Linked DNA regions of Cricetulus griseus. The protein of the gene in region 5 interacts with the protein of the main gene of each other region in a biochemical or structural test. Links are inferred from orthologs where the notes say so. Each region holds a gene or a part of one and is shown on either strand. Other genes may lie near its edges.

Evidence for each region.
Region 1: the proteins of Rnf168 (region 5) and Sqstm1 form a complex in vitro, tested with the Homo sapiens proteins (2 studies listed by BioGRID). The link is inferred for Cricetulus griseus from reciprocal best matches to the Homo sapiens genes RNF168 and SQSTM1.
Region 2: of the proteins of Rnf168 (region 5) and histone H2AX, one has a biochemical effect on the other in vitro, tested with the Homo sapiens proteins (2 studies listed by BioGRID). The link is inferred for Cricetulus griseus from reciprocal best matches to the Homo sapiens genes RNF168 and H2AX.
Region 3: of the proteins of Rnf168 (region 5) and histone H2A.Z, one has a biochemical effect on the other in vitro, tested with the Homo sapiens proteins (3 studies listed by BioGRID, with this or other methods). The link is inferred for Cricetulus griseus from reciprocal best matches to the Homo sapiens genes RNF168 and H2AZ1.
Region 4: the proteins of Rnf168 (region 5) and Ube2n form a complex in vitro, tested with the Homo sapiens proteins (2 studies listed by BioGRID). The link is inferred for Cricetulus griseus from reciprocal best matches to the Homo sapiens genes RNF168 and UBE2N.

The regions. Positions count from the first base shown.
Region 1 is NC_048600.1:64,667,252-64,671,249, forward strand, and holds the start of Sqstm1 (sequestosome-1), read right to left. Parts: upstream 2,803-3,998; 5' UTR 2,755-2,802; coding exon 2,550-2,754; intron 240-2,549; coding exon 144-239; intron 1-143. UniProt on the Homo sapiens protein: Molecular adapter required for selective macroautophagy (aggrephagy) by acting as a bridge between polyubiquitinated proteins and autophagosomes.
Region 2 is NC_048597.1:156,021,595-156,024,763, reverse strand, and holds histone H2AX, read right to left. Parts: upstream 1,862-3,169; 5' UTR 1,781-1,861; coding exon 1,349-1,780; 3' UTR 506-1,348; downstream 1-505. UniProt on the Homo sapiens protein: Variant histone H2A which replaces conventional H2A in a subset of nucleosomes. Nucleosomes wrap and compact DNA into chromatin, limiting DNA accessibility to the cellular machineries which require DNA as a template.
Region 3 is NW_023276806.1:21,775,360-21,779,412, reverse strand, and holds histone H2A.Z, read left to right. Parts: upstream 1-1,246; 5' UTR 1,247-1,400; coding exon 1,401-1,403; intron 1,404-1,878; coding exon 1,879-1,956; intron 1,957-2,266; coding exon 2,267-2,380; intron 2,381-2,743; coding exon 2,744-2,873; intron 2,874-3,133; coding exon 3,134-3,195; 3' UTR 3,196-3,573; downstream 3,574-4,053. UniProt on the Homo sapiens protein: Variant histone H2A which replaces conventional H2A in a subset of nucleosomes. Nucleosomes wrap and compact DNA into chromatin, limiting DNA accessibility to the cellular machineries which require DNA as a template.
Region 4 is NW_023276806.1:161,500,787-161,505,013, reverse strand, and holds the start of Ube2n (ubiquitin-conjugating enzyme E2 N), read right to left. Parts: upstream 2,807-4,227; 5' UTR 2,649-2,806; coding exon 2,619-2,648; intron 1-2,618. UniProt on the Homo sapiens protein: The UBE2V1-UBE2N and UBE2V2-UBE2N heterodimers catalyze the synthesis of non-canonical 'Lys-63'-linked polyubiquitin chains. This type of polyubiquitination does not lead to protein degradation by the proteasome.
Region 5 is NC_048597.1:57,245,460-57,249,588, reverse strand, and holds the start of Rnf168 (E3 ubiquitin-protein ligase RNF168), read left to right. Parts: upstream 1-1,326; coding exon 1,327-1,474; intron 1,475-1,564; coding exon 1,565-2,161; intron 2,162-4,129. UniProt on the Homo sapiens protein: E3 ubiquitin-protein ligase required for accumulation of repair proteins to sites of DNA damage. Acts with UBE2N/UBC13 to amplify the RNF8-dependent histone ubiquitination.

The DNA.
Region 1 (3,998 bases), on a different chromosome or scaffold from region 5:
CATGGCCCACACAGCAGGAGCCTGCAACTCCCAGGCCACAGAGCTCTTCCTTGTCCTAGACAACTCAGATTCCTGACCCTTTCTTAGAGGGAAGATCTATAAAAAGCACCTGGATTCAGGTAGTGCCCTAGGGCAGCTCGTACCTTTAATGTAGATGCGGAAGATGTCATCTTTCACATAGGACATGGCCATTGTCAGTTCCTCATCACTGGAAAAGGCAACCAAGTCCCCATCCTCATCTACATTGTTAAAAGACAATATATCAGAGCCAGCCAGGGACACAGCTCAGGGATGAAACACTAGCATGCAAGTCTTAGACTCCATTCCCAGTACTAGAAGGAAAATAAAGGCAGCAGAGGCATCCAGACCTCTATGCTGGGTACACACTGCTACAATGTACAAAGCCCACTGCTAAAGGAATGTTTTCAGAGACTCTAGACTCAGCCTGGATACTGGGGCACAAAGCAGTATGGCCATTCACTCTGACACAAACTGGATGAATACATGCTCCAAGCTAGGTCCTAGATTACAGTTGTACACAGAAGGCTGAGCACATCTGTATGGGGGTGCCCATCCTCCGCCAAAACAGGAGTGTTGATCTCTAGGAGCCGTAATTACAAGTAGTTGTGAGGTGTCAAGTATGAGTGCTGGGAACAGAACTTGGGTCCTCTGGAAGAGCAGCAAGTGCTTTAACCATTGAGACATCTCAGCGGGGCATTGGTGGCACATGCCTTTAATCCCAGCACTCGGGAGGCAGAGGCAGGTGGTGGATCCCTGTAAGTTCAAGGCCAGCCTGGTCTACAGAGAAAGTTCCAGGACAGCCTCTCCAGAAAATTCAGAGAAACCCAGTCTCAAAAAAACAAAACAAAACAAAACAAAACAAAAAGAACCATTGAGACATTTCTCAAACCCCTCTGGGATTTACAGCCAAGCATGTATGTTTATAAGTTAATACAAATAGTCTTCAAGCACCTCATCACACATCTGCAGGCTGGGCTAAGCCTGTGGGCAACCACTCAGCCAGCAATAGCTACCATATATGAGAGAGGAGACCTCAAAAGTTACCAACAGCCCAGTGCCCACCAACTAAAGACCAGATAAACAAAACATGACATATCCAAACAAATTATTCTTCATCCACCAAAAGAAACGAAGTACCACCCAGGGATGAAGCAAAGAAGTGGAGTCCTTGGCTAGCAAACAAAGCCCTGGGTTCAGGCCCCAGTACTGGATGGGGGGGTGGGGATACTGGTGAGAGCTACAATACAAATGGTGGGCCTCCGACATATTAATAAGTGAATGAACAAATCTACCTTGTTAAGACTCCATTTTATACCAGGCAGTGGTGGTGCACACCTTTAGTCCTCAGACTCAGGAGGCAGAGGCAGGTGGATCTCTGTAAGTTCAAAGCCAGTCTGGTCTACAGAACGAGTTCCAGGACAGTCAGGGTTATACAGAAAAACCCTATCTTGAAAAACCAAAATAAATAAAGATAAAAATTTATAAAACAAGAGATTCTAAATTGAACATGATAGTGATTACATAATTCAGTTAGAAAAAATACAAGGATCTGGGGAGGGAATTCAGTTAATAGAGTGCTGGCCTGGCAGGCATGAGGCCCTGGACTGGATCCCTAGCAAAATATAAAGCAGAGAGGACTCTGAAGGACACTTTAGGGATACAGGCCAGCCCAGACACACAGTGAGACCCGTCTCTGCTAATACAAAACAGCAATCTTTTTTTGTTTGTTTTGTTTTTCAAGACGGTTTCTCTGTAGCTTTGGAGGCTGCCCTAGAACTCACTCTGTAGACCAGGCTGGCCTCAAACTCAGAGATCCGCCTGTCTCTGCCTCCCCGGTGTTGGGATTAAAGGCATACGCCACCAGCTCCTGGCCTCTACACACTTTTACCGGGTGAATTACATAATAACTCAATACACGGAAAATTTTCTGGCCCGGAGTGGTGATGAACACCTGTGATCCCTGTACTGGGAAACAAGACAAGAGGATTAAAGTTGAGTGAGGCCACCCTAAACCACTTGGGAGTTCAAGGCCAATCAGGCTACGTGGCTTTACCTTAAAAAAAAAAAAAAAAAAAAAAAAAAAGACTGACGGACTAACAGTCCTCCACAAGATCATCCCATAGGGAGGGCCTTGGCCACGTCTCTCTTGTCAACAATTTCTAGCCCCACCCCATGCAGTCTCCAGCCACTCCAACGCCGAGACTGAGCTAGTTCCGGGGTCCCCGACCTCCCCTCCCACAGACCGCTCCACCCCGCCCCCGTCGCTTGTTTACCCGCGTCACTGCTCTCCACCCCTCCTCCACGTCTGTCAGTCCCTGTTTTTTCCGGGGCTTTAACTGAACCCACCACTCGGCATTACTGCCAACAAGCGACCGGCAGGATGTCAGCCGTCACCTGAGCGGCCGCCTGACCACCCAGTCCCCGCGGGGAGGCAGAGGACGCCCTGCCACGTCCTCGTCCAGACCTGCCACACCGTGGCGGAGGACCCCGGCTTCCCCACCCCGGCGGCCCCGGCACAGGCCCCTCACCGCGGTAGTGCGCCTGGAAGCCCCCAGGCCGCAGGGCGGGGAACAGCGAGGCCACCCGACACAGCAGCCTCTCGCACGGCCCAGGACCCGCCGCGGCCTCGGCCTCCGCCTCCGGCTCCGGGCTAAAGCAGAAGCTGAAGCGGCGGATCTCTCGGGCCGCCTCCTCCTTGCCCAGAAGATAGGCCTTCACGGTGAGCGACGCCATAACTGCAGACTAGGTACGGGGAAACAGCTGGGCAGCTGCTGCGGCTGAGGCGAGCCCAGCGTTTATAAAAAGAAACGGAGCCCCGCCTCATATGGGCGGGGCCTCTCTGCGCCCCGCCCCTCCCAGCTGGTTAGTCTGCGGCACGCGAGCCCCCCTGACAGGGTCCCTATCAGGTATAGGAGGGGCGCTCTTACTGCCAACTCCTTTTTCTCCCTTCCAAGACAAGGGTGACCCCCAAGAGACCAGCCTCAGCCTCCACTTGTTGAGGAAAAGTCTGGTAAGGGTCCTAGCCTAGGCGCGTCCCAGGCTTGGGCCTGCCTATGACTCAGCAGTGTAGTCCCCAAGCTGAGGGGGGATGCCCAGCACAGAAACGAGAAGGACTCAGATGCTTACTGTCAGGAGGCCAAACAAGCTGGTTCAAAGGATGTTGTTCCGACCCTCTCAAGCTTAGTGTCCCGGGTAGTAGCGCCCCTCCCCTACCCCCCTTACCCCTACATCCACCATGACCAGCCCTTAACTGGATAAAGGCACATCACCCCCCATCTTAGGCCTGACCCAATTTAACAAGGATCAGGTTGGGAGGTATTGGACAAGCACTGGAGCGACTTCCCACAAACCCACCCTGTAGGAGGGTAGCCAGGACTCCTGAAGCATCAATGGTGACCACCCGTGTCCCCTCCCCCCCCACTCACATACTGGGGCTCTAATCAGGGGGTGGGGTGGGCATATCTCAGGCCTTATTGGCCTCATAGACAGCCAAAGGTGTTAGACCACCTGCACTCCAGCTAGAAATCAAAATGTGAGCCTTAGCCAGTCCTGTGCCATGGGCTTGTAATCCCAGCTGTTTGAGGTGTTGAGGCAGGAAGATACCAAGTTCAAGGTCTGCCTGAGCAAATTGGTGAAATGCTCTCCAAATAGAAAGTGATCCTAGCACTTGGGAGGTAGAGCCAACAGGAGTTCAAAGCCAGCCTTGGCTATATGAGGCCGCTTCTCAATAAAGTAAAATAAAAGGCTGGGTTTGGAGTTGAGTAAAGATACAATTCATGGGGATTTAGCTTAGTAGGGATACACCTCAGAGGGATTAGTGCATAAGGACATAGCTCGGTGCCTAATAGTGCTTTTAAATTCTCCCCTCAGTACCAAAGCCAAAACCAGGAGGTGCTTTGTGTGGCAAAAGTGACCTGTTAGCTGGGCATGATGACACACATCTGTAACCCCAGCCCTTGGAAAGCTGAGTCAGGAGG
Region 2 (3,169 bases), about 99 Mb from region 5:
GTTGAGACTTCCAGAGACACGAATCACCTTGGGGCCTTGATGACTGCGCCTTTCCTCCTCAGTAGTTAGGGCTTCATCTCTTTAGAAAAAGTCAGTGCCAATCTCGAATGTAACCAATGCCACTAATATTAAACCAGCTCTCAATGTGGTTGTTTTGGTGGAATTGGGGAAAATATAAATAAACCCAAAGCCCTTTTAAACCTGAATTCTGAGTCTGGGACTTCTCTGTTGAAATACTTTCTAATTGCCTCATGTTCTCAGAATGCATCCCAGGAAGCACCGAGCAAAGAGAAAACTGCCTCAATTCCTACAGCCTGCCTGTTTTCAGTTAACAGAACCTACTTGTATTACAGTCTTGCCCATCCCCACTGCTCTAAGGGAACTTACAATTCCACTCCCACCTCCCAACACAACACATGCCAGGTACATGGCTCTACCACGGAGCTATAGAACCCCAACCCCGGGCCTACAGCAATTCGAAATTAATCAAGACACTCCATCTTTTAAAAAAACAGAACAACCATTTAATAAAATTAGCCCATTGAAACTCCCCACTACCTAAGGTTCTAAACTTGGGATAGCTGCAAAATTCCAGTTCAGAAGCCAGTAGAGGCTCAGTCCAGATAGGGATTCACCGACTTGTGCTGGTATCTAGGTGTTTGGGTTGTGAATTGAGTCGCTGGGAAGAAAAGGGGATAGCTAGGCCCGGCTGCCAGTCTCCTGCGGCAAGAACACAGCTCTTCTGTCCACAGGCCTGTAAGCTTCTCCCAAACCCTTTCCAGGAGGCATCCTGGAGAAAACCAGCTCATATTACAGTGATTTTGTCCCGGCCACACCACACACCGGCCGATGAACGAAGATGGGGTAAACTGGTATGAGGCCAACGAAGGGGAAAACACAGGACCAAACAATATGATCCATTTCTCTTCACCAAAGCCTGGTAATCAAGTCACTTCTGGAAGGTCCAGGCGAGGGCTAAAGCACCAAGCTGAAGAAAGGACGCCCGGGTTGCAGCTGCAGAGTAACTCACCTTCAGGCCCACCTCAGCCGTACGTCACAGCAAAAGGCCGACACTTCTGGAAGGTGTCGCAACCTCTCCGCGCGGCCCATCGAGACGGAGACCGGCGAAGCTCCGCGATGGATAAGTACCGCGGCGCCTGACCCGGAGGCCGTGCAGGGAAGGGGAGGCAGAAACGCGCGATGGCAGAGAAAGGGGAAGAGAATGGGAACGCGGCGGCCCGGCCCGCAGCCCTAAGTGGCTCAGCTCTTTCCGTGAGGGAGGTGGTGGCCCTTAAAAGGGCCTTTGTGGAGGTGTGGGGAGGGCTGGGCGGCCAGGGCGCGGGCTCCCTCAGTACTCCTGAGAGGCCTGGGTGGCCTTCTTGCCGCTCGCCGGCGCCTTGGGCCCCACGGTGGCGCTCGTCTTCTTGGGCAGCAGCACGGCCTGGATGTTGGGCAGGACGCCGCCCTGAGCGATCGTCACGCCGCCCAGAAGCTTGTTGAGCTCCTCGTCGTTGCGGATGGCCAGCTGCAGGTGGCGCGGGATGATGCGCGTCTTCTTGTTGTCCCGCGCCGCGTTGCCCGCCAGCTCCAGAATCTCAGCGGTGAGGTACTCGAGCACGGCCGCCAAGTACACCGGGGCGCCGGCTCCCACGCGCTCGGCATAGTGGCCTTTCCTCAGCAGCCGATGCACGCGGCCTACCGGGAATTGTAGACCGGCGCGCGAGGAGCGCGATTTCGCCTTGGCGCGGGCCTTGCCTCCGGTTTTACCGCGACCCGACATCGTATACGAGGTAGAAAGCAGAGAGCAACACCGACGACGAAAGAAAACTGCCAACCGCCGCAGTCAACTGTCGCCGCGCGCGGGCGAGCTCGCCCTTATAAACTCCATGGACACGCCCCCGCCTCCCCCTGATTGGCTCTTTTCCCCAGTACCGGCCTCTGGTTGGTTGGAATTAACCCTTCGGTGACGCGCCTAGGCGAAAAGAGCTCGCCCAGCGATTGGTCCAATTTGAAAACCTTTTACCCGGGGAAGAAAGCAAGGCGGAGTGGCCGCAAACAGCAGGCTAATCATCCATGGAAGTGGCCAATCCTTATTAAGCGCGCGAAATTTAAACGCTATTGCGCGCCACCAGAACCGGAAGACTAGGAAGGTGGAGTCTGGAGGCGCATGACTGTCTCTGGGAAATCTGGGCCGGCCAAGGGTTTTAAAGTAAAAGGGTTAGCCGAGCGATAGTGGTGCACACCTTTAATTCAAGCACTCAGGAAGCGGAGGAAGGGGGAGCTCTGAGTTCAAGCTTAGCCTGGTAACAAAGCGAGTTCCAGGACAGCCAGGGTTACAAGGGGAAACCCTGTTTCGAAAAACATTTTAACAAAAGTTAAAAAGGGAAAGAGTTCTCCTTCCAGGTCAGGGGCACTCCCACGCCCTCCTCAAATTTGGCAAAGGGAGGGTTTAAAGGAGAAGAAATGAAACCTGAGAGTACAATCCTATGCCAGAAAACTGAGTGCTGTGATCCTTTGTGCTACGACAAGTTAGTATTTTAATATTTATTCAACATGTTCTGTCTGGTTTCAGTTCTGTCACTTCTTGCAGGAAGGGGTCTGATGGAACAGAGGTAGGTATTCTCTTGGAAAGGGTACCCACCCCAACCCTTCCAATCGATCCTAAAATGCCCATACGAAAGATAAATAGGGGATAGATGTATAGATTTATTCAGTGGTAGAGCACTTAACAAAGTTCAGTCCTCAGGCCGGATGTTGGTTGCACAAGCCTTGTATCCCAGCACTGGGAGACAGAGGCAGGTGGATCTCTGTGAGTTCGAGGCCAGCCTGGTCTCCAGAGCGAGTGCCAGGATAGGCTCCAAAGCTATACAGAGAAACCCTGTCTCGAAAAACCAAAAAAAAAAAAAAAAAAAAAAAAAAGAGTTCAGTCCTCAAGTATCTCAAAGGCTAGAAAAAGAGGTTGAGGGAGAGAAGCAAGTAAAAGACAATCCTTTATTGTCACCATTTTGAGCACATGGCCCTGCCTCTGATCTTCCTAATCAGAACACTTAATTTTAAAGTCAAATGTGAGGTTACCTTGGAGTATAGGGCCCTAACTCTAGCACATAGCCCAGGTTCTCTCTCAAGGTCCAGCAAATGCAGGGCTCTGAAAGTTGAGCTGTATTTGCAT
Region 3 (4,053 bases), on a different chromosome or scaffold from region 5:
CATGCTTGAGTTCCATCCCTGCAACCCATGTACAGGTGGAGAGAGGGAGAGCCCACTCCACAGGTTGTCATCTGATTTCCACAAAGTCTTCATGGCATGTGCACCTGCAACCACCCACACAATAATTTTTCTTATTTAAAGAGTTAAACATTAAGTACTGTAAATATGAAAGATTTAGATCATTATGGTCTCCAAGCAGCTAAGTGATGTACACAGGGATTGTCGACCTGCTAACTGCACGTCTAAGTGACTGGCATCAGGACAGGACCGTGTGTACGTACAGTCCTACTTTTTCTTTTTTAAGCCCGGCATTTGTAATTGATTACATGAACCATCTGTGGCTGCTTGTGAATCATGTTACAGTTACCCCACTGACATTTACCCAACATTTTTCATGTGGCAAAATGTTTAGTGTCGGAAAGCTGACACATAATAGCTTTGATGATTCAATAAATCAACTTTAGACACCAGGCTATAGGCGCATCCCCATTGATGTGGAGTCTCTCTCGGCAAAATTATGGCTGATGATTTCATTATAATAACGCTTCATCCTGAGCTTCCTGTGTGTAGACAAAATTATTTGTTATCACCAAGGTAACTTGACCCCCACGGTTGTTACGAGACAGGATGGGAGGGTGAGGGGGGCGGTCAAAAGAGGTGAGGACCGGAGCGGAGGAAGATGAAAAACAACCTCCGGCGGGGGTAAGAGACGGTCTCTCAGGGAAGTGCTTCAGCAAGTGCGGGCCGAGCCGAGCTCCTCTCACTGGAGGCCTTCGCGCCACCTGTCACAAAGGAGGGGCCCGCGGGGAACCGAGGTCTGCGGGGAGGGGGGGGGGACGGCCAGGCCGACCGGAGGACGCTGCGAGGCCCAGGCTGGACCGGGAGGCGAGCTCACGTGGTCTCCCGCACACCGCGGGAGGACGCCCGCGCGCCCGTCCCCAGCCTCTCAGCCCCGCCCTCCAGGCACGTGACCCCGCGTCCGCTCTCGCGCTCGCCCGCGCTCCCTCCTCGGTGGCGCAGGGCTCTGTGTCTGCCCTCCCGCCGCGGCGCCCTTCCCCTCCCGGTCCCGTCCCGCCGCCTCCCCCACTCTTCCCCCTCCCCACCCCTCGCGCGCCAATCACGGCTCGAGCTCGCGAGCGCCCGCCCCACCACCCTGCTTCGCGCCCTCCCATTGGCCGGAGCCTCAAGGACGCGTCCCGAAGGCGGGCGGCGACCATTGGTGGGCCGAGCCAGCCGAGTTCCCGGATGAGGGAACATTCTGCGGTATAAAGGGCGCGAGGAAGGCGGGAGACGGCGCAGTTTGAATCGCGGTACGACGGAGGAGTGGGCGCCGGGATCTCGCTGTGCGTCCGCCTGGCCTCGTCTCTTGCTCGCTTGTGCGATCTTCAGCACGGTCCGAGATGGTAACGTGAGAGTGACGGCGGGCCGCCGGGCGGGGGGCGGCGGCGGCCGCGAGCTGCGGGCTTGGAGCGGGCGGGGCCGCCGTCGCCGGGGCTTGGGCGAGGCGGCGGCGGCGGGCGGGAGCGTGCGGAGACGGGTCGGGGACGAGCGGAGGGAGGTGTTTGGTTGAGCTCGGAGCTCCGGGAGGGAGGCGACGGTTGGAGGGGGGCGCGCGCGGCGCAGCTGGGAGCCGGCGCGGGGCGCGCGCGGGGCGCGCGGCGGGGGTCGGCGGGCGGGCGGGGAGAGAGGGCGGGGGCGAGCGGCGGCCCGGAGACCCCGGCGGGCCGCGAGCGCGCGCCCGCCGCCCGCCCGCCCGCCTGCTCGCTCGCCCGCCTCCGGGACGCGCGGCCGTGGGGGAGGGGCGCGCCGCTCCGCGCCGCCTTGGTAATTCTATCCTCTCCGTCCCTCCCGGGCTCGCGGGCGTCGGCGGCGCCGCAGGCTGGCGGTAAGGCTGGAAAGGACTCCGGAAAGGCCAAGACAAAGGCGGTTTCCCGCTCGCAGAGAGCCGGCTTGCAGGTAGGCAGCTGCTGCCGCAGACGCAGCCCGGGTGACCCGGCCTTTATCTTTGCACCCCCTGGCTTGTTTGTCGGCGCCTCGCATGGGTGTTCCATCTTTTGCGTGGGTGATGTGTCGCGACTTGGCCTTCGGAGACTGAATGTTGGGGCGGCGGGGGCTGGTGGGGGGGGCGTCGATCGCGTGTGCTAACTGCCCGGGCGCCTTGGTGCACCACCGTCCTTGGCTTTGGCGCGCGCGCGCATCATCTTTCCATCTCTGAATCTCCTCTATCTTTGTGCATTTTTGTTTGTGTGCATAAAAAAAAATCAAGTTCCCTGTGGGCCGTATTCATCGACACCTGAAATCTAGGACAACCAGCCACGGCCGTGTGGGCGCGACCGCCGCTGTGTATAGCGCAGCCATCCTGGAGTACCTCACCGCAGAGGTAAGCGGGAGTGAGTATGCCTGTGATCTGGAAAAGGTTTGGGGGGCGGGGGGGGGAAAGTGGGCGAGAGGGAAGGAGGAAAGTGATGCAAGAAAACTCCCAGGCCCTAAGCGCGGCGCTTAGGCAGAGAGAGGGCGCTAGAGGGAGCTAGTGTTCAGCCAAGGATCCCGCTGAGCCAGAGTTTGCTGCTGTTGCAAAAGCAATTGCGTGCCCCTTCAGTCCTTTGCATCATTTGCATAGTTTTGTCATTCAGGTAGTGGGGGGATGACGACAGTTGGTGGGTTAAACACCACTGACGTTTAGCCAGCTTCCTGGATCTTGACTGAAGGGAATTGGAAAATTGATCAGAATTTTGCCTTTTAGGTACTAGAATTGGCAGGAAATGCATCAAAAGACTTAAAGGTAAAGCGTATTACCCCTCGTCACTTGCAACTTGCTATTCGCGGGGATGAAGAATTGGACTCTCTGATCAAGGCTACAATTGCTGGTGGTGGTATGTTATCACTGACACTCGGTTACTTTCCAATAAGAAAATTCCTACATTTTCATTGCTTCCAGAAGAGGGCATTTAAATATATTTTATAAATCATGGTGGTTTATGGAATTTGGTTTACACAACATCATTCATCATTTTACTTTATGTTTGAATTTTTTTTTAAGACCTTTCAAGTTGTAGATTTACCTGCTTTGATTTCATGTACTGTTTCAAAATGTTTCTACAAAAAGTAGAATTAATCCTTGTCACTTTCCTAGGTGTCATCCCACACATCCACAAATCTCTGATTGGAAAGAAAGGACAACAGAAGACTGTCTAAGGATGCCTGGATTCCTTATTATCTCAGGACTCTAAATATTCTTAACAGCTGTCCAGTGTCGGTGATTCCAGTGGACTGTATCTCTGTGAAAAACACAATTTTGCCTTTTTGTAATTCTATTTGAGCAAGTTGGAGGCTTAATTAGCCTTCCAGCCAACCAAATTTCTGCATTCGAGTCTTAACCATATTTAAGTGTTACTGTGGCTTCAAAGAAGCTATTGATTCTGAAGTAGTGGGTTTTGATTGAGTTGACTGTTTTTAAAAAACTGTTTGGATTTTAATTGTGATGCAGAAGTTATAGTAACAAACATTTGGTTTTGTACAGACATTATTTCCACTCTGGTGGATAAGCTCAATAAAGGTCATATCCCAAACTAGTTTTAAACTTGCTTGATGATTACTACTAGATCTCATTCAGCTCCCCTACCTTCTTTGCTTACTAATCAAACACTTCATCTGTAGACCAACAAGTCATAACCAATTTGTCATAATGAACTAGGCATGCTGTTGGACATTCACAGTAACTGTGAAAGGCACTGTATCACAATTTGGGACAGCTGGACCGGTAGAGACCCCCAGGTATAACATAATAACCTCCACAGAATGAACTTAAGATGTAGAAGTTAAATCATTCTCAGTGACCAGACACTGTTGTCAACTGTGAAATGCTAGTCACAGGGGATGCGTGCTATTTTCATAGACTAGGGTAACATGATGAAAACATTGATACATATCAGGCATGTTCCTTAAGAGCTTGAGAAAACGCATCTGCCCCTTTCACCCTACCGAGACAACATGCGTGCTCCTTTCTGAGGCAAAAATTGGTAACAGGAGGTGGTATGCATGCAACCTCTGCAG
Region 4 (4,227 bases), on a different chromosome or scaffold from region 5:
TTCTAGTCACATAGACCCCAGTATTGTATTAACCTGTTTGAAACAAAGTCTCATATATTCTAGACAGGCCTCAACCCCCTAAGCAGCCAGGGATGATAAACTTCTAAACCCTCCTTCCTCTATTACATTAGAATCATAAGTATAAAACACCATGACAGACAAGTGTGGTGGCACACATCTTTAATCCCAGCACTCGGGAGGCAGAGGCAGGTGGGTCTCTGTCAGTTCCAGGCCAGCCTGGTCTACAGACGAGTGCCAGGACAGGCTCCAAAGAGAAACCCTGTCTTGGGGGGAAAAAAAAAAGTAACACTTAAATACAATACCAAAACTGGTTTGTGTGCAGTATTAAGGGTAGAACTCAGAAAGCTTGCAAGCACCATATCTGAGCACTCTCTGGCCCAAAAGTTACTTTTCAAAATAAATTTTAATGTAAATACGTTTTCTGCTTGAGGTGTTGCTTGGTGGTAAAGCATTTGCAGAGCACATACAAAGTCCTAGCTAGTTTCAATTCAATCCCTAACAGTAGAAAAAGCATATTTTTAACTGATTATAGAACCTACATAATATAAAAATGGATCTAAAAATTATTCTAGGGGGTGTCAGTGGCACACACCTTTAATCCCAGCACTGGGGAGGAAGAGGCAGGAGGATCTCTGGGAGTTCCAGGCCAGCCTGGTCTACAGAGTGAGTTCCAGTACAACCTCCAAAGCTACACAGAGAAACCCTGCTTCGAAAACAAACAAAAAAATTATTCTAATCTCTTAACCTGCCCTATTGATGGGGGAAAAAAAAAAAATCCTTTAAAGCTATAAGTACTGAAGTCAATTAATATTACATAAATTAGAGGTGGGTGCAATAAAATACTGTAAAGATTGTATGTCTCAGCACGAGTTTACCACTACCTTGTTTTAAAATAGCAAAATGGCAACACTGAATATATGCTTAAGCATTGTGTACCAAATGAATTAAACAAGCTCCTCAACATCCTACTTTAAACCATTTCTGTAAATTTATAGCCAATATTCCACAGAATTTATTTTCCCAATCAAGACTTTTGTATTACTGCAGAATATTAATCTTCACAATCAAGCAAAAATCAAAAAAAAAAAAAAAAACTACACCAACTGTTAGGTTCAGTGTGAATTTTAGAGAATTATATTCATTATCAATCTGTGGTATGTTTAGTCCCTAACCAAACAATAAAAACCCGGTGGTCTGGTGGGAAGCAATCATTTTTCAAATGGAATCCTGATTAACATGATCACTAGTGTTCATGTCTCTGTATCAGAATTAAACGAGTCAGGACTTTCCAACGCACGACCTAACAATTAAAATCTACTTTGAAAGAATCTGAGATTCATAATATAGCAGTAAAAGTTTATGTCAAGACTACAGTGCTCGTTGACAATTTATTCTTTCTTCCTAAGAATGTCTTATAAATGGTCTTGTTTTCTAATTTAAGCACCTTTCTGTCATACACCCAACCTCACACCCATTTGTGACTGCCCGAGGGACTAGACAGTGCATCACATCCTTCAAAGGGGCCCTCGATATAATTAGTACAAATCTCGCCCAAAACTTCAGAAGAGTGAACAGTGCTGTAAATTCAAGCTCACTAGATTACAGCAAGCAAAACGAAGCTTCAATATGGGCATATCACTGGCATGGTGAGCAGTGTAGGGTTTTTTTTTTTTTAACTAAATATCCTTCATAAAAACAGATGCCTATCGTGTCTGAAGTCTCAACGCTGTTATGTAAAGACTTCAGAAAATCAAGATACGAGTTTTTTCATGGTTCCATACGTACTCACCAAAACACAGTATTCCTAAAGAGCCTCGAGACCGCTTAGTATACGGAAGGCGCACGAAAACAGAGGCGAACTATTACAGATCATCCCCATAACCGAGATGCTTTGGGCTGAACCAGTGCCTCGGAACAGAAAACAGTTGGCCAAAAAAATAAAGAAAGAAAAGAAAAAAGAGTTTGCCAACCGGAGTAAAATCACTTCGCGGAGATAACCGGCAGCAACGCGGGGAAGCGAACACGGCGGGCAGGACACCCACCCGGGCGCCAAGCCCCCGGCGCCGCCGACCGCGGGCAGCCAGGACGAACATGTGCGGTCGGCGGCTGGACTCGCGGCCCGCGGCCCCGCCCGGTTCTCGGGGCCGGTTCATTCATTCTGCACCCGAGACCGCCGACCAGGAGAAGGGGGCTCCGGGGCGAAGCGGCCAGCCCAGGCCACAACCCACGCCCGGAGTCCAGGCCACGCCGCGATTCCCGCCCGCGGGTGAAGAAAGCCTGGCGAGGCCCGCGCCGGTCCCGCGCCAGACGCCAAGCCCGCAGCCCCGCCCTCCACCCGGCACCGGCACCGGCCTGGCCTCCCGTGCCGCGCGCGGCCTCGCAGCCCGAGAGCCCCCGGCGTCCGGCTTTCAGCGGCGGCCGGAAGTCTCCTCGGCGCCCCCTCCTCAGCGCCCGACTTCCCCGCCGCCGAGGCCAGACCCTTCTCCGCGATGCCTCGGGCCCCTCAGCGGCTGCCGAGTGAAGCGTATGGCCGCGCGGCCCGGCGCGTTGGTGGAGGAGAGCCGAGCGGGAGGCCCGAAGCCCGCCTGGGCGGTTACCTTAATGATCCTGCGGGGCAGCCCGGCCATCTTGTCAGATCCCGAGTTCGGCCTCTGCTCTTGTCTCCGGCTCCGCTCGCCTCACGCACGAGTGGAAGTCCCGGACTCCACTTCCGGGGGACGTCGCCGCGCCCGCCGCCGCTGCCTCCGCCGAGGCCCCTCGGGAAATGTAGTCCCTGCTTGGACGCGGGCTTCGGGCGGCCTTCCGTCCGACCTGATGGCCCCCTCCCCCGCACTCCCCGCCCCAACCCCAGCCGGGGGTGGCGGAAGTGACGCTCCGCGGCGGGGCAGGGACTTGGGGGAGGCGGCGCCAGGCAGCGCCGAGCTGCTTCGCCCGCGGCAGAATCTGCGCGAGACTGGGTGTCCGGCGTCCACGAGTAGCGTACGTGCGACCGACCACGCCTGCGCCGGTGGGCGACGTAACAAAGGCCCGGCCCCCGGCGTAGCTCATTCATTCATTCGTTCCATTTGTTCATTCAATGTTCCCGCATTGCGCGGCGGGCTGACGCTGCGCCGCATCTCCGTCGACCTGGTGATCGGGGGGCTTGTTCCAAACGAGAAGCACTCGATGGCAAAGCTTCTAACTGGGAAACTGGTTGTCAAGGCCCTGACAAATAATTCTAAATGTTTTAATTTCACATAAAAAAAAAAGGGGGGGGGCCTCGCCTGGCGGTGTGGCGCACGCCTTTAATCCCAGCACTTAGGAGGCGGAGGCGGGAGGATCTCTGAGTTCGAGGTCAGCCTGGTCTAAAAAGCAAGTTGCAGGACAGGCTCCAAAGTTACACAGAGAAGCCCTGTCTTGATAAGCAAACAATCAACAAAAAAAGGGAGGGGGGCTCTCCGACCTGTCCCCCACCCCAAAAGGATTTGCAACAAGTAGGGGAGTAATCCCTAAAGGAGTAGGAGTACCTTCAGAGTGAAGGCCCTAAAAGTGGAGGGGTCCCAAAAGGGATTGTTGGGTGTTTTCATTTCTTTTCCTGTTGCTGTGATAAAATATCCTGTAGCACGAATAATAGTTGATATTGATAATAAAAACTCAGAGACAGATATTGAGGTTAAGGCTGAAGATCAGAAAAACAAAGTGGCCAGCCACTAGAGAGTTCTCACCTCTACCAAAGCTCAGAAGGAAGGGGAGATCCTTGTCCTCAGACTGCATTGCTCTCCACCAACCTCTAAATCCAAGCTTTCCTGTCTCCTTCTGCCTTATGATTCCTCTCTCTCCACCTCCCTACAGGTTTTCCTAGGGTGGTGGTGAACGCAGATCCATCTGCCTCTGTCTTCTGGGATTAAAGGTGTGTGCCACCAACTGTCTGGCCTGAATGGCTGTGGCTAGCTTTGCACTCTGATCTTCAAGCAAGCTTTATTAGATCATAAAATATCACCACAATACTCCACAAGGCAACTTAAAGGAAAAGGGGTTAATTTCAGTTCAAAGGGGATAATCACCATAGTTAAGGACAGCTGGTCACATCGAATTTTTCATGCTAGTGCTTACCTCTCTGTTTATACAGCCCAGGTGACAACCACAATTAAGATGGGTGTCCATACATCAATTAAGTCCCCCACAGGCATGCCCAGAGGCTTTTTTCCCTAGGTGTTTCTAGATTCT
Region 5 (4,129 bases):
TCGAGACCAGCCTGGTCTACAAGAGCTAGTTAAACCACTCAGAAGGTGCCTTATCCAGATGAGGAAGACAGGAGACTCATATTCACCCAGTGTACTAAAAGATTATCTCAACAACAGATAGAGTCTGGATACTTTCTGCCAAGCTGTGGACCTTAAGTCTTTAAAGAAGAGGGCTGCAGGCATCAGGGTTGTGACATTAGAAATAAGTGTAAATGTCAAATTGTCACAGGTCCGAGGATTCTCTGTCTCAAACTTTCAACTTTCCATTGAGATCAGCCTTCTAACAGATTTACAGGGGAGCTGAGCCAGAGTCTGTTAGACCTGGAACTCTATGTTGCCTGAGTTGGACTTCAGCTTTAGATCCCCTTGCTTCTGTCTCTACCTTTATCACCTAAAGGTTGGGATTACAAAACACATGTGACCACACCTCTCTCAAAATACTTTTCTTTCTTTCGTTTTTTAAAAAGGTCTCTTTGAGTAGTACTGGTACCCACTGTGTAGACCAGGTTGGCCTCTAACTCAGAGATCCTCCTGCGTCTGCCTCTGAAGTGTTGGGATTAAAGGTGAGTGCCACTATTGTTCTTTTGTTTCAAATGCTAGGATAAAGCTGAAAGGGGGTCCTGCGTGGGGGACCGTGGCAGATTCCATGGCTGGCAAGGGTGACCAAGGCGGGGGACAAACATGCCAGGTAGATAGAGCTTAAGTGAGAAGTTTCATTAGAAAAGGAAGGGAGGGGGCAGGGAAGGGGAAGGAAAGAGAAAAGAAGTAAAGAGACACAGAGGGAGGGCAGAAAAGCAGAAAGAGAGGAGAACGGAAGAGCAGAAGAGCCATCACCTAAGAGAGAGCAGGAAAAGCAGAGAGGAGAGCCGGAAAGAGCAGAAAGAGAGCGTAAAATCCGCCTGCCTCTGCCTCCCGAGTGCTGGGATTAAAGGCGTGTGCCACCGACGCCCGGCAAAGCAAAAATTTTTTTAGCTGAATTTGTTGCAATTTTTTTTTCTTTTGGCCCTAAGAACTTTGGAAACTTTGGTTAGGAGATACAAAATGTAGTTCTAAGAGTACTGAGAGAATAATTATCAATATTACTGCTTGGATCTTGCTTAGCGAGTTCACTTTTGAGCCAGTGACTAACCAAAATTTTCACAGCCTACACGGATGAAACCACCTTAGACTGGTGGAGCTGCGACAAGCAGATAGGGCTCGACTGCGCGCGCGCGCAGCTCCCGGAAGCCCCGCCCAATCGAGAGGGTGCTTGGGTAAGGAGGGCCGTTTTGGCGGGGAATTGTGACGTCTGTGGACGTGTGTACCTGCTCCTGCCGCCGCCAATGAATGGGCCGGCGGCGCAGCGGATCTGAGCGGCTGGGTCTCGGGACCCTCCGCGAGGCGACCAGGAGCTGTAGCGCGGGGACTGTAGCACTGCCTCCGCCTCAACGGCGAGACGGAAGCCTAGCGGCGGCCCGAGCCCGACCTCCGGGCGGTACGAGGTGCTCTCGGAGCGGCGGTCCCCGCTTCGGGACCCGGCAGTCCCGGCGGCCTCGCCCGAAGAGGCGGGTGCTCACCCGCTGAGGTGAGGAGGGGAGCTGGAGCCGACTGTCCGCCCCGCGGGGAGCCGGAACCACTCACCGACCCGAGCCGGCTGCGCTCTCGAAGGAACGTTCGTTCATTCCCTTGCTGGACGCAGGGCATAACTGCTCGCCTGTTTGCCTCGAGCCTCGGGAAGGTCAGCCTGTCTGGATTCCAGTACGCTGCCTGTGTGTCAGAGTAAATACCAAACCGCTCGCCGGCTTCCTTCGTACCGTGGTTAGCCGAAAGGCTGGTTTCTTTGAGCTCTTGACGTTGAGTAGGCCTCGTGAGCGTCTGGAGATGGCGGCATCCAAAGAGGCCATCCCTTCCTTAGCAGAGTGTCAGTGCGGCATCTGTATGGAAATCCTAGTCGAGCCGGTAACCCTTCCCTGCAACCACACGCTCTGTAACCCGTGCTTTCAGTCAACTGTTGAAAAGGCCAACCTGTGCTGTCCCTTCTGTCGCCGCCGGGTCTCTTCGTGGACTCGGTATCATACCCGAAGAAATTCTCTTGTCAATAGAGACCTGTGGGAGATTATTCAAAAACACTATGCAAAGGAGTGCAAGCTTAGAGCCTCTGGGCAGGAATCAAGGGAAATCAGTGAGTAAAATTCAACATGGTTTTGGGGTTAAAAAGAAAAAAAGCCCAAAATGGTTTAGAGAGGTATCCATCACTTTTCTATTTAAAGAAAAAAGGTGTGTGGGGGAGGAGGGAGGTGGTGGCGCACGCTTTTAATCCTTGGGAGGCAGAGGCAGAGGCAGGCGTATCTCTTGAGTTCAAGGCCAGCCTGGTCTATAGCGCTAGTTCCAGGACAGCCAGGGCTACACATAGAAACCCTATCGGGGGGGGGGACGGGGGGGGGAGAAAGAAAAGAAAAAGAGGACTAACTAGTCTAAATTGACCTTGGGGATTTGTGGTTTTGTGAACCCCGCCCCCATATCGGTTAAAGGCAAAGGCAAATTTTTTTTATCACCTGTAATAATGCTCAAGTTGTGTTCACCAGCTGTGAATTGAGTTTTTAAAATTGCAAAAAAAAAAAAAAAGAATCGCCCCTTTAGAGTTGTCTAACTTCTCAAAGAATTGTGTGGTCAAATTCCAGAGTTCTTTGGCTTTGCATTACTTTCTCTGACCTGTTTATTAATTTCCTTCATTTTATGCTCCGTCCTTAGTATGCAGCAAGCCAAAAATAGATTCCAATTGCCAGTTCCATCTAGTTCAGTCATTTTTGGTTGACCCCTTCCATTCTGGGGGTGCAAAGAGCTACAAACTGATCCCTAGTCTTTAACACTATACCAGTATTACAAGCCATTCAGTATTTCCTTTGGGGCCTGAATGTGGTGTTGGTCTGTAGAGTACCTGCCCTTTATGTGTTTCAAAACACACACACACACACACACACACACACACAGAGGTGACTGGGAGTGGTGGTGCACACTTTTAATCAAAGTACTCAGAGGCAGGGGCAGGTGGATCTGAGTCCAAGGCCAGCCTAGTTTACAGAGAATTCCAAGACCTCAAGGGCTACACAGAGAAACTGTGTCAAACAACTAAACCCCCACAAAATTTCCCGTCTTAATCATTTTAAGCAACAAATCTTGAACAAGAAACCCCCAGTTTTGTAGAGATGCATATGGTAATAGTCGCCTATTTAAAATACTGCTTAAAGCAGGGTGTAGTCCTGCATGCCTTTAATCCAATCACATGGGAGGGAGAGTCCAGAAGTCGGATCTCTAAGTTGAAGGTCAGCCTCCTCTCTTTATTTGAGCTCCAGAACTACAACAGAGACTTTGTCTTAAAATGGCACACACCTTTATTCCCAGCACTGGGGAGGCAGAGGTAGGTGGATCTCCAAAGTTCAAAGCCAACCAGAGAGAGCAAGCATTATGTGCATGCAGGAACCCTTGGAGATCAAGAGAGGCATCAGATCCCCCAGAACTACAGTTAGGACAGTTGCAATCAGAAATTTCTTCTTATTCTTTTTTTTTTTTTAAGATTTATTTATTTATTATGTATACAGTGTTCTGTCTGCATATATCCCTGCAGGACGGAAGAGGACACCAGATCACATTACAGATGGTTGTGAGCCATCATGTGGTTGCTGGAAATTGAACTCAGGACCTCTGGAAGACCAGCTAGTGTTCTTAGCCACTGAGCCACCTCTTTAGCCCAAATTTCTTATTTTTTTTTTAAAGTTCACTTGATAAATAAAAATAGCCAAGATATCAAGAGAGCAAAAGGCAGCCCACAAAATAGAAGAAAAATATTTGTAAATTATAGATAATAAGAAAACAGACAGCAAACATTTGTAATTCTAACACTTGGAAGGCTGGGGCAAGAAAGAGGTCTGCTGCAAGTTTGGGACCAGCCTACGCTATGTCAAAAGAGTCTGAAAATGGGGCTAAGAAATGGCTCATCAATTAACAGCACTTCTCACAGAGGGGACTGGGTTCAATTCCCAGCACCCTCACCAGGCACCTCCTTATAACTCCAGCTGCTGAGGATCTGAGGTCCTGCCCTCTTCTGGTCTCCATTGGTGCTTGCATGCCTGTGCTGAACATAAAACTCACA